Linked DNA regions of Rattus norvegicus. The protein of the gene in region 2 binds, or shares a complex with, the protein of the main gene of each other region. Links are inferred from orthologs where the notes say so. Each region holds a gene or a part of one and is shown on either strand. Other genes may lie near its edges.

Region 1 (3,642 bases), on a different chromosome or scaffold from region 2:
CATGAGTCAGCTTGGGTTCTTCTGGCCTCACTGGGGTTGGGGGAATTTATCTCTGGCCCTGTGAACGCCCAGCTGGTAGAATTAGTTCTCTTCTTGCACATGCAGGTGGGTCTTCTCAGTGGTATCTGTATCATTGTGGGCACCATCATCGGCTCCGGGATCTTCATCTCCCCCAAGTCTGTGCTGGCCAACACAGAATCCGTGGGGCCCTGTCTCATCATATGGGCAGCCTGTGGAGTCCTGGCTACACTGGGTAATAGAGGCGACAAGCCACGCAAGCACAGGGTCTCATTTGGTAGCCCAGGCTGGTCTCAAGCTGTGGTATGCCTGTTGTGGGATGTAGCCGTGGTTCCGAGTCCTTCTTCTCAGGGTGTTTAGACACCAGGCTGGAAGGATGAAGCGGTGTCTGAAATGGGTAGGGTTCTGCGGGATCCAGATGAGGCTGGGAGTGTCGGTGTGTCTGTGTGTGTGTGTGTGTGGGGTATTCCCTGAGGATCTTAGCGCTACAGCTCTTCTAGATGAAGGCCTTCTCTGACAGTCACCAGTGAAACAGCTCTCTCAGAGGATCTTAGCTTGTATGCATACCTTTATTCTGGGTTGGTTTGTACACATCCATTTTATTCAGGGTGAACTAGGGATATATACGGACCTTTGGAGAATGGGAAGAGGTTCTTCTTAGGGTGAAGTTTCATTGGCTGGACTTAAAGGTACTAGGAACACCTCCTTTGCATGGAGAGGTGTTCCAGGAATCCCACGTACTTGCTTGGGGATTGAACTTGTAGTGCTAAGGACTATTCGACCTTCCCCATCTAGAGGCTAGGGCTCCCCAGAAAAGGTCCTAAGAGTTGGGATTATAGACTTGTACCACCATGCCCAGCTGGCTTCCTTTTGCAGTGGGTGTGTGGTAAATAAGGGTGAATCTGCTTGCAGTTAAAGGTCCAGCAGCTAGGACTGGGCTATTCAGACTGTGAGCCCCCAAAGGAGGAAGGTTCTGTGGATTAGGATGGGACCTCATAAGGAGTGGGCTCCCTCCTGTGTTCCAGGCGCCCTGTGCTTTGCAGAGCTTGGCACAATGATCACCAAGTCAGGGGGTGAGTACCCCTATCTGATGGAGGCCTTCGGCCCCATCCCTGCCTACCTCTTCTCCTGGACCAGCCTGATTGTCATGAAGCCCTCATCCTTCGCCATCATCTGCCTCAGCTTTTCAGAGTATGTGTGTGCGGCCTTTTACTTAGGCTGCAGGCCTCCTGCTGTGGTAGTGAAACTCCTGGCTGCTGCTGCCATCTGTGAGTTACCAGCCAGGGTGGGGGGATGGGAGGGGAGACAGGGAAGGCCCGAGTTGTTGACATCTTCGGAATCTAGTCTTGGCTCTTCCTTACTTAGCACAGCAGGCCTGCAGGGCCTGGTGAAACAGGCCCAGGTTGGCCATCCCAGCAGGTGGTGGGCAAACCCCCAGGCCTGTGGGAGCTGCCGGAAGGGGGTTATCCTGGAGCTGCAGGAAGGGGGCTATCCTGGGTTTTCCTTGTTCAGGGCCTGGCTGCTTCTCCTTCACAGTCTGAGATTGGGCTTGATTTTGAGTGTCAACATTGGTGTATCTTAAAGTTGCTAAAGCCAGTTTATTTAATTCTACTCCCTTTATTGAGGGTCTGGGGGTGGTGGGGGAATAGAAAAGAAGGGCTTTCCAGGACCTTGGGAAGAACGATGAATACAGAATGTTACCCGACTTGCGCCTTCCAGTGCTTATCACTACAGTGAATGCGCTGAGCGTGCGGCTTGGCAGCTATGTGCAGAATGTCTTCACGGCAGCCAAGCTGGTGATCGTCGCCATCATCATCATCAGCGGACTGGTCCTCCTGGCGCAAGGTGAGGTGTGGCAGGATGGGAGAGCAGGCCCCGCCTGGCATGTGACTTCCTGTCTTCTAGAGCAGTCTTGCCCACGAGCACGTGTGTTTTATGGTTTATGTATTTGTGCTTGCTTGTTGGCATTGATGATTGATCTATTGACTGATTGATTGATTGATTGATTGATTGACACAGGAACTTATCATATAGCCTAGGCTTGTCTCTAACTTACGATGCTCCTGCCTCAGTATCCTGAGTGCTGGGATGACAGACATGTCCTATCACGTGAAGTTTCGGTTCCTTTAATAAATGGGTCAGGAGTCATACCCTTCTTCCGGTAGAGAGGGGAATGAAGTCAGTGTCTGGCTAGCTGACATTCCCGCTTCACTGTCTGGCTTAATTTCAGGAAATGTTAAGAACTTTCAGAATTCTTTTGAGGGTTCACAGACCTCTGTGGGCTCCATCAGCCTGGCATTTTACAACGGACTCTGGGCCTACGATGGGTGGTAAGCGCTCCTGAAACACTCCCAGTCCACTGGTGGGGTCTTTACGAAGCTTCAGTTTCAGCTGCTATGGAGAGCAAAGATGTCACCTTTCCGGGGTACAGCATCTTTAGCTTTACCTTCACATGAAATGCTCAAACCCTGACCTTCCCACATCCCTGGGACACCATAGATGAGATCATGGGGCCACATGATCACCTTAACCCTTTCCCAGCCCGGAATTGGCTCCGGCCCCTGACAGTGCCCGGTGAGGGTGTCGTTGGTGAAGCTCTGTGTACCTGGAGAATTCCATCTGAGCTGCATAGAGGCAGCACAGGCTGCCCAAACACCTGACAAGACCAAGGATTTTCAATGGTACTAGCCCGGCAGTCCTGCAGACATTAGATGGACTGTGCTGTGTCCCTCAAGGCAGAAGCATGGCCGTGGTGATGCTGGCCTCCCCGTTACCACTGGTACAGGGTTCATCCTTCTTCCAACCTCTTTCCAGATTTTCAAAGTACCCTGAATATTCTTGGAAATTCACATGATTTCCACAGAGGTCAGAGACTTAACCCAGTATCAGACAGCTAGCACTTGGAAGTTGCAAGGAAGACTTGTCACCACCAGGACCTAGGGAGCAGAAGTTACCCTGCACTGGTGTGAAAGCTCTTTTTGGCCTTTTGTTTTTCTGTCAGCACTCCTTGCATTGTTTTATTTTTACTGTTGAGGATGGAACCTAGGGCTCTGTATATGCTAAGAAAGCATTCTATTGCTGAGCCTCACCCCCCACCCCTCACTGGGGGATTCTAGGCAGGGGCTCTACCACTGAGCCACGCCCCCAGCCCCTCACTGGGGGATTCTAGGCAGGAACTCTACCACTGAGCCATGCCCCCAGCCCCTCCCTGGGGGATCCTAGGCAGGGGCTCTACCACTGAGCCATGCCCCCAGCCCCTCCCTGGGGGATCCTAGGCAGGGGCTCTACCACTGAGCCACGCCCCCAGCCCCTCACTGGGGGATTCTAGGCAGGGCTCTACCACTGAGCCACGCCCCCAGCCCCTCACTGGGGGATTCTAGGCAGGGGCTCTACCACTGAGCCACACTCCCAGCCCCTCACTGGGGGTTTTTAGGTAGACACTGATGCTGAGTTATGTGTCCTACAGTAGAAATCTTAAAATGAATCAACATTTATCATTGCTCCACAAACTTAGCCAAGAGAGTCATGTAGCACGTCATGGTGTCATCCTCGTTACTTTTCTTTGTCTAGGAACCAACTTAACTACATCACTGAAGAGCTTAGAAACCCTTACAGGTAAGAGCA
Region 2 (4,442 bases):
CTCAAGCTGTCTTTACAGCAAGCGGTCCTCGTTCACTTATGTAGAAAGGCAGAAGTTCACACACAAGAGATTCTTGGCTTGTCAGAGGGACCAATGGAAGTTAAGCTCTGTATGTGGAACCCTGTAGGACGATTGCCTGCTGTGGCTTCTAGACCGTGGTCCTAAATGCAGATTCGAAGCCTTGAGCCAGTATTTTTCTCTGTGTTTCCACGAGCCTACCTAAAGCATGCCTCATCTAAACAAGCAGAAGGTCAAGAAGACCAAAGCACAAAGTCTCCTGACCCTGGCAACAGCATCCTGGCAGAAGGGGAGACATTTAGAGACGCTCTTTGGTTTTCAGACTATTGAAACAGATGCCCCTCAGGGATTAGAATTTTCCCCCCAGAATCTCCTGCTGGGAGAGGAAAAAGCCTGAAGCCTGGTGCCAGCCAGAGGAGGAGCTTATCTCCGGGAAAGAGATTTCTCACAGCTCTCAGCACCTCGGCAGAGCACCGGGATGACCAGAGCTGGAGAGTGAGGCATCTACGAGAGATGGCCACACCTTGGCCAGGACTGCTTTGCTGTGCATTTCTCTTCCCTTTTATTCCAGCCTACGCCTCCCATCAAGAACCCTGACTGGGGCCCTGTGGAATCAGTCTCTGCGTTTCTCTGTCACTCAGCAGGACCTAGCTGCCCTGTTGAGAATGGAGACTGAGCACCTGGATATGCCCATCCTGCTGTAGCAGGTGCTTGCTGTGCTGCCTTCCAGTTGGCTACAGCATTTCAGGGCGACAGCTGGCGGCAGAAATATTTCCACTTACACCCCAAGCAAGCACAGGACTGAGGACGCAGGGTTCCCTGGAGCAGAGTGGCTACTCCAGCATAAGGAAGGGAGAAGACTGGGGCAGCTGGGGGTCGGGAACGACATACCACCAAGGGACTGAGGGACCCTAGTCCCATCTTTGGAGAGACAGAAGGCAACACTAAAACCAAACATGGGGCAATTTCTTCAGAATAACAGAATCCTTGAACTTGAGGAACAGTACCTACTGGATATCAGGAAGCGACTGTTTCCAAAGGTAAAACAGAAGACACACAGAGCTGACTAGAAACTGCATGTCTGTGGGGACTTGGAAGCCACTTAGGAGCGAGCTGGAGGCAGGCCCAGGAGGCAGAAGTGTGTCCCTGGTTCTGGATTGTCAAATCCGAGGTTGCCAACATTTGCTGAGTAGGAGGGGAAACAGGAGCTTGCAGGCAGTGCCAAGGGGCATAACGTCCAAAGCAGCAAGGGACCATGATGAAGGTGAAAGATAAAGCCTCAAGAAGGTGGCAGCTCTGAGTCGTGCCCCTGGGGACAGATACATAGTTCTCCAGATAGTGAAGATGGAGAAACTATTTTTAAGAGTGGAAAGGCTGCTGAAACTTGTCTCACAGGGCAAAGCTGGGGATCCACCCCAGACGGAGAGTGTGGAGAAAAAGTCAGGGGTGGGAGGGGGACAAACAGGACAGAGTACAAAACAAAGAAGCCTTTCATTAAGGAAGTCTGGGGGCTTTGAACATATGACATTTTAAAGACAAACTCACTCTACCACACCATCTTGGTTTTTCCTTCAAACAAATAATCATTGCAAGAAAAGAATTTCCTTCCTAGTTTATTTCTTCTCACTGCACTCCCTTTTTATAATTCTGTGTGTCTCTGTCTCCCCTCCTCCCTCCTTCTCTCTCTCCCCCTCCCCACTTTCTGTTTTGATTTTAGCCCTGGCAATCTTCCTCAGCCTCCTCAGGGCTAGCATTACAAGCCAGAGGGACAGCACCCAGCTCTCTTGTGTCCTAAACCATGGTGACTCATGAGCCAATCTAGTTTACACCCACTGTCTAGCACAGTTTCAATCTTAATATGGCTGATGGAACATATATTATAATCCACTTATAAGGATAAGAAATGACATACAGAACTTTTAGCTTAATTTAAAAAAAATCCAAACGTTTGGTTCTATTTTTCTATCAATATGGCTGCCGCTGTGGAGAACCCTTTATTAGGCAACAACTGGTGAGCCTTTAGCCTTCTCTTATCTCTCAGGATTGAAACTTGAAGACAGTCATCCCTTCTGCAGACATTTGTATAACACGATGTATTTATTAATAAACTCTCAGCTAAAGAACACACTGTGCCTGTCCCCAGAGAGCCAGTCTCAGATGAAACACGGAGCCACAAAATCAGATTTTAGGATTGATGGGTGAATGAATATGTGCGTGGGTTTAGTGGGCAAGAGATTAAACAACCCCTTGGTTCTGAATCCTTCAGCAAAGAGCCTTGCATCAGGAGCAAGGCTTGCGGGCTTCTGCTGAGTGGTGCTTGAATGAACTCCCAGGGGAACGGGTGCCAGCCATCCTGGAATGTGTTTACCACACAAGCCAGGCACAAAGTGGTTTCCAGGAAGCTGGGAGTTGGCCCACAAACCACCCTCCACTGGTCCTAAGCGCCGAACACCCACCTTTCAGGTCTCCATTCCCATCCTTGTCACTGTCCTTAAAAGACCTCGGGTAGATCTGGTACATGGGACCTGCCTGCCACCAGTCAAGGCATTTTGGAGAGATGATGATGATGGCTATGGTGGCTCCGATGAGCAGGAACACGGAGACCACGGTGAGCCAGAAGAGGATCTCCCGAGGCACCCGGTAGCGAGCCTGGCCAGAGAACTGGAACAGCACCTCCTTGGGCATCCCTGCATAGGGCCGCACCACCTTTAGTTGAGGCTCCTCTGGAGCAGGGATACTAACAGCGTTGGACTGTGGAGTGTCCCTGGAGTCTGGGTCCTGCTCCTGGATGTCTTCATTTTGGACAAACCCGTTATTCGTCCGGCATCCCTTCATACTCATCTGGATAGAGTCTCTCTTGTCTTTGTCCTCATTCATGTCTATCCGGTGCAGCTCTTCCCAGTGCTTTCCAGTAGGGACAGAGTGAAAAGGTGGCTTGCTGGGTGCTGTGGTTTATTAATGAGCTTTGAATGGTTTATAAATAATCCTGGCTGGACAAAGTCCAGCCAAGGAAGAAAGGGTAAAGTTTAGTAAAGGGGGTCAGGGGGAGGGGGTGTGTGCACAAATGATCTTTACACCAGGTGGTTGACTCAGCTACAGTAACAGTACATGGGGGAGGAGACTGGGGAGAAGAGGCGGGCTTCCAAACACCGTAAGATGCTACTTGTGTGAGTTCCAACTGCCTACAGTAATTCCATTCACAAATCTACAAAAGGTGGAGGTGACCCAGAGATGCACCCATCATCATGTGAATGTGAAATGGACGTACAGGAGAAATTATTCCCTGAAAGGGAAGCCAAGTCTGACACACACTACAGGATGGATGGACCTCAAGGGCATTACGCTGAGTGGAAAATAACCACAGCCACACAAATATTGTGTGGTTCCACTTAGAGAAGGAATCTATGTTCACAGAAGCACAGAACAGAACAGTGGTTGGGGGTTTAGGAGGAACTGTGGGAAAGTGTTGGCCAATGGAATAGAATTCTAGCTAGGGATTTTGATGAGTTTTAGAGATGGACAATTGTGGTACTACAATAATGCAGACACACTGCCACCGAGCCAGTTATTAAGTGGGTATAATAGTGTTGTTTCACAATGGTTGAAAAACATTGACATTTTCTTTCTTTAGCTAGGTAGAAAAATGATCTCAAACTTTCTAAGGAGAAGCTGGCTGTCCATTTTGTTTGCAGGTGTTCCCCTACAGATCCACAGCAGCAGCTCTGGAGACAGGGGACTGCATTTTGTCGCTGAAGCTCATTTCATGTCAGCTCAGGCCGACTCCAGACAGCCCTTGTGTATGACTAAGCAAGGCATGTGTGTGCTCAGTTCAACCTCAGGCCTTTGATCCTGATTTCAGAGAAGAATGTGGTTTAACATTCTTGTAAGCACTTCCAGAAAAGGTGGGGGAATGGGATGCTGAGCCTTGCAAGTTCAAGTGTTTTACTACAGGCAAACAGTCCTTAATCCTCATACTAAGTAGTTGTTTAATCATTGACAAGTGTAGAACACATTTGCAAGTCCCCAGAAACTGTTGAAAGGCTGGCCTCAGAGATTCCCCAGGCCTCAAGAAATAAGATGATCAGTCACACTTGAGGGCTTTGATTAGACAGGAGGTGTTTTCTTTTTTTTTTTAAAGATTTATTTATTTATTATATATAAGTACACTGTAGCTGTCTTCAGACCCACCAGAAGAGGGCATCAGATCCCATTACAGATGGTTGTGAGCCACCATGTGGTTGCTGGGATTTGAACTCAGGACCTCTGGAAGAGCAGTCAGTGCTCTTAGCCGCTGAGCCATCTCCCCAGCCCAGGAGGTGTTTTCTTAATTAAAATGTTTTTATCATTCTTGTGTTGGGTGGGGTGCGGGGTGCATGAGACGTTCAGACTCCACTGTCTTCTCTGGGTGCCCAACACCACAGGGG
Region 3 (4,192 bases), on a different chromosome or scaffold from region 2:
CTCTCATACCTCCTGAGTGCTGGGATTATAGGTGTAATACATGACACCTGGTTTTATGGAGTATAGGGACAGGACATATTGAAACATCCTCAACTGTTTGTTGACCATCAGCCATTTGAGAGAAATTCTGTATTAGTTTAAAGATTATTAACTGTTCTAGATCTTTCTTAATCAGAAATAATTACATGAAAATGATGCATCTCCAGCAGCAGAACAAGATTAAATTACTTCAAAGTACATTCTTCTGAGGTGTGTGCACACAAGTGCACATGCACACGATGCACACACACACACACACACACACACACACACACCACACACACATACACTCACACACTCACAGACATAAAGACTCTCTTTAAGTCGCAAACTTCGAAAGAATTATTCGAGTCTTTTTTTCTTCATTCCTCACTTTTGGACCCAATATAAACTAACTTTTTTAAATGTATTTTTATTGGATATTTTATTTATTTACATTTCAAATGTTATTCCCTTTACTGGTTTCCTTCCACAATCCCCCTATCCCATTCCCCCTCCTGCTTCTATGAGGGCACTCATCTACCTACCCACTCCTGCCTTGCCACCCTGGCATTCCCCTACACCAGCAAAACGAGCCTTCACAGGACCAAGGGCTTCCCCTACCATTGCTGCCTGCTACATATGCAGCTGTAGCCATGGGTCCCTCCAAATGTACTCTCTGATTGATGGTTTAGTCCCTGGGAGCTCTGGGGGGTCTGATTGGTTGATGTTGTTCTTTCTAGGGGTTTGCAAACCCCTTCAGCTCCTACAGTCCTTCCCCTAACTCCTCCATTGGGGTCTCCATGCTCAGTCTGATGATTGGCTGCAAGCATCCACATCTGTATTGGTCAGTCTCTAGCACAGCCTCTCAGGAGACAGCTACATCTGGCTCCTGTCAGCAAGCACGCCTTGGCATCCTCAATAGTGTCTGGATTTGGTGGCTACATATGGGATGGATCCCCAGGTGGTGCAGTCTCTGGATGGCCTTTCCTTCAATCTCTGCTCTACTTTTTGTTCCTGTATTTCCTTTAGACAGGAGCAATTCTGGGTTGGAAGGGGAGCATCCTCATAGAAGCAGGGGAAGGGGGATGGGAGAGAGGGGCAACCGGGAAAGGGGATAACATTTGAAATGTAATAAAATATCTAATAAAGAAAGTTAAAAAAAAGAAAAAAGAAAGAAAAAGAAAAGAAAGGGAGGTATTAAGTGTTGCCTGAGAGCTGTCAAGACAGCTATGATTCATGATTCTCTTATGTTTAAAAAAAAAAATACCTAAAGGACCTAGTACAGGTGCAAAGCAAAGCCCCTGCCCTGAGGCGAACAAGGAAGCAATGCCCTGAGGCGAACAAGGAAGCAATGCCCCACAAGAAAGGGCTACAGCAGCGCACAGCTGCCATGGTAAGGAAAGGTCTTGAAGCTGTAGGAGCGCGTCCACTTCATGTGTCCAGGAGGGCCAGGCTGAGGGGTGAGGAAAAGGAAACCTCTCTCAGATGACCGTTGGTACTGGCAATAATCCAAAACTTTTTTCTTGTCCTAGGAATCAAACCCAGAGCCTCAAGCATGTTAAGTAAATGCTCTAATATTGAGCTGTGTATGACCCCACCCCATCTCCCAAATGTAATTTCGTATGAACCTTTAGCAACACATTCATCCATGGAAGAAGAAATTTTTATAATTAAAAAACACGATTCCAAAACTAAATAAATGAAATCAGTGAAGAGCCGAAGAGTGCAGCCACTTGCAACACAACCCAGTCTGGCTTTACGACATTCCTGGATCCACAGTTTCACAGGACTGAGTTTTTTGCACCCTCTGAGCATTTATGCATTAACAGAAAGAAAAAGTGCATTAAATCAGGAGGTCTCATATTTCTGGTCCCAGAAAAATTAAGATGAAAAAGAGAAGGGTTTTGTTTGTTTTCATGTTAGTTTGAAATGAATTGAATGGGGAGAAAAATTAAGAATAGGTGATTTAGGAACTTAATGAATGAAGATCGCTATAGAGTTTGATAAAATCGCTAAGATGATAGTCAATGCATAATGAAAGATTCTCACTTCACATACAACATATCAGCCATGTTTTCTCCCCCCCCCCTCCAGATTAATAATTACCTGCTACGTATGTAAAACTTCCTCCGCCAGAAAATGCGAAGTATCCTTGGAAGATAGCTTCTATCAACCGAGAGACCTCTGGAAACTCGGCATCAAAAGCATTCTGAAGCCTTCGCACGTTCTCCTTCCTCCCTGTCACCAGCAAGAACAAGCCGCTGAGGGAAATGAAGCTAAGTATACCCATCTTCAGCACCATGCTCACTGTCTGAAGCCATGACAGCTCTTTCACACCACGAGAATTCAGAATTCCCACAATCCACAGCATCGCCAGGGCCAGACATTTTTTTGGTACAGCCGGGGCAGAGCAGCTGGGATAGAAAGGCTGAATGCCATACTCGGCGAGTAGCAGAGCTTGACTAGCCAGTACGCCTGGGCCCGTAAACAAGGAAGTCCAAAGTCTTAGGAATGCCACAAAAGGGCCAAAGCATCTCTTTAAAAAATAGTAGTGAGCCACCGTGTATGGGAAGGTTATTCCAATCTCTGCAGCACAGAGAGTACTGGTCATGGACAGCACTGCACAGAAAACCCAAACACACAAGGAGACTCCCACATTCATGGAAGAGTACTGTAGCACTCCCTTGGGGGACACAAATATCCCTGCACCAATTATATTGATAATTAAAAAATTTGTCCCCCAGAAATATCCAAGTTGTCTCTTGAGATATATTTTCTTCTCTATATCCATTGCCATTGAGAGTAGTTTACGCTCAACAAAATTCTAGTCTGTGAATGTTTCTACCTATATAGATGCTCTGAATGTACAGCTCTCTTCTTATTCCACCTCTATTAAATATGATCTATGTTCAATAATTAACAAAGTAGGTGTGACACATTTAAGTGAAATAAAATGGGTTGGTTACCTGTAAGGACTTAGTCTGACCTTTCTTTTAATAATTATCAGAATCAGGCATTTCAATTGAAAAGGGAATTTTAAAGGAATCAAGGTTAGGAAACGGGAATAAAGAGTGTTCTTGTTAAAGTTGCTAAGAACTTGTCTGTGCTGTGTTCACTGCATCCACGGACAATTGCCAAGATTAGGTGGACAACTGAAAAGTCACAAGAAAGATACGAGGTGGAAGAAATTTCAAAACTGGGAAACAAGTGGGCTTTTCTGTGGGTATTTATCTGTCTGTCTGTGACTGGGTCTTGCAATATAACCCTGGCTGCCCTGGACCTTGCCTTATACACAAGGCAGGACTAAACCTACACATTACTTCTGCCTCACCAGCATACATCACCATACCCAGATTTCAATGTTTTGCAGTGAGATAAGAGAGGAGATTAGGAAGGAAGCAGAATGAAAGTATGTTGGAGAATACAGAGCATTTTCAGGGAATCAAGACGTAGAGTGCCTATAGTCTCAGCCACTCAGGAGGCTGACACACAAGGATCAATTCAAGGCACAGCATTGCTGGCTTCCCCAAGTGTGGCTGAAATTTTCATCAAGAAATCAAAAATGAAGTGTGACCCCATGGGAAAATTGTCTAATGTAGCTATGCAAACAGGATCACTACACCTTGGAGGTAAGATGGGAGTCAAGGAAGTGCTTCTCCAGGCTTAAAACTTCATGTGTTCTGTTTGGTTTTGAGTGTGACTGGTGACAGTTTCCTTTGTACTTGCCTATTGTCCCCTTTGAATTAATTCTTCTGTCCTATGTCTATCCCAACACTGCATTTTGGAAGTAGATTTTTCTTTCATTTCATACTTTCAAAACTGCAGTGAATTTTTCCCAGGATGGTGCAGGACTTAAATCTGACCCATATTCAAGTCAGATGATCAATCTTTTGAGTTGGTGCTAAATGGACTGATACTTGGAGATTATTGGAATTGAATTAATGTATTTTACCTGAGACTATGACACATATTTGGGAAAGAATATTATGGCTTGAATGTATTCTCTAAAATTGTTCAGGTACTGAAAAAAAATGAATTCCCAAAGTTATAGGTCAATGGTATTGGAGAGAACTATTGGAAGTTAGAGTTAGGTGAGATCATAAAGGTGGGATACCATGACAAGGTTAGTGGCTTCATAAGAAGAGAAAGAGACACCCAGGATGGTTGTTTT

The links.
Region 1: the proteins of Slc3a1 (region 2) and Slc7a9 are in contact, whole or in part, in a cryo-EM structure (PDB 6LID), measured with the Homo sapiens proteins. The link is inferred for Rattus norvegicus from reciprocal best matches to the Homo sapiens genes SLC3A1 and SLC7A9. Residues at the interface, in NP_000332.2 of Homo sapiens: Pro64, Tyr65, Ala66, Gly67, Met68, Pro69, Lys70, Leu73, Phe74, Phe76, Ser77, Tyr82, Pro85, Arg86, Phe90, Thr93, Val97, Leu100, Ile101, Ala103, Thr104, Ile107, Ile108, Ser111, Cys114, His201, Asp202, Thr373, Glu374, Pro375; in NP_001119807.1 of Homo sapiens: Cys137, Phe140, Tyr141, Val142, Gly143, Cys144, Pro147, Ile149, Val150, Cys153, Leu154, Ala156, Ala157, Leu160, Phe161, Thr164, Leu168, Thr279, Thr281, Asp295, Arg296, Tyr299, Tyr343, Val346, Arg347, Lys467, Thr470, Met471, His472, Gln474.
Region 3: the proteins of Slc3a1 (region 2) and Slc7a13 are in contact, whole or in part, in a cryo-EM structure (PDB 8WK6), measured with the Homo sapiens proteins. The link is inferred for Rattus norvegicus from reciprocal best matches to the Homo sapiens genes SLC3A1 and SLC7A13. Residues at the interface, in NP_000332.2 of Homo sapiens: Pro64, Tyr65, Ala66, Gly67, Met68, Pro69, Lys70, Leu73, Phe76, Ser77, Arg81, Tyr82, Pro85, Arg86, Leu89, Phe90, Thr93, Ser96, Val97, Leu100, Ile101, Thr104, Ile107, Ile108, Ser111, Cys114, Leu115, Glu194, Asn195, Asp202; in NP_620172.2 of Homo sapiens: Ile120, Phe123, Phe124, Pro125, Ser126, Cys127, Leu132, Pro133, Cys136, Leu137, Leu139, Ala140, Met141, Trp143, Ile147, Arg151, Lys187, Thr265, Arg267, Asp281, Arg282, Glu450, Cys454, Tyr455, Gln457, Leu458, Leu459, Phe460, Asn461, Ile462.

The regions. Positions count from the first base shown.
Region 1 is NC_086019.1:97,249,855-97,253,496, forward strand, and holds part of Slc7a9 (B(0,+)-type amino acid transporter 1), read left to right. Parts: intron 1-105; coding exon 106-253; intron 254-1,043; coding exon 1,044-1,286; intron 1,287-1,737; coding exon 1,738-1,863; intron 1,864-2,248; coding exon 2,249-2,348; intron 2,349-3,588; coding exon 3,589-3,633; intron 3,634-3,642. UniProt on the Homo sapiens protein: Associates with SLC3A1 to form a functional transporter complex that mediates the electrogenic exchange between cationic amino acids and neutral amino acids, with a stoichiometry of 1:1.
Region 2 is NC_086024.1:15,391,817-15,396,258, forward strand, and holds the start of Slc3a1 (amino acid transporter heavy chain SLC3A1), read right to left. Parts: upstream 2,934-4,442; 5' UTR 2,896-2,933; coding exon 2,475-2,895; intron 1-2,474. UniProt on the Homo sapiens protein: Acts as a chaperone that facilitates biogenesis and trafficking of functional transporter heteromers to the plasma membrane.
Region 3 is NC_086023.1:38,072,985-38,077,176, reverse strand, and holds the start of Slc7a13 (solute carrier family 7 member 13), read right to left. Parts: upstream 2,880-4,192; 5' UTR 2,819-2,879; coding exon 2,128-2,818; intron 1,475-2,127; coding exon of another isoform or gene 1,289-1,474; intron 1-1,288. UniProt on the Homo sapiens protein: Associates with SLC3A1/rBAT to form a functional heterodimeric complex that transports anionic and neutral amino acids across the apical plasma membrane of renal epithelium.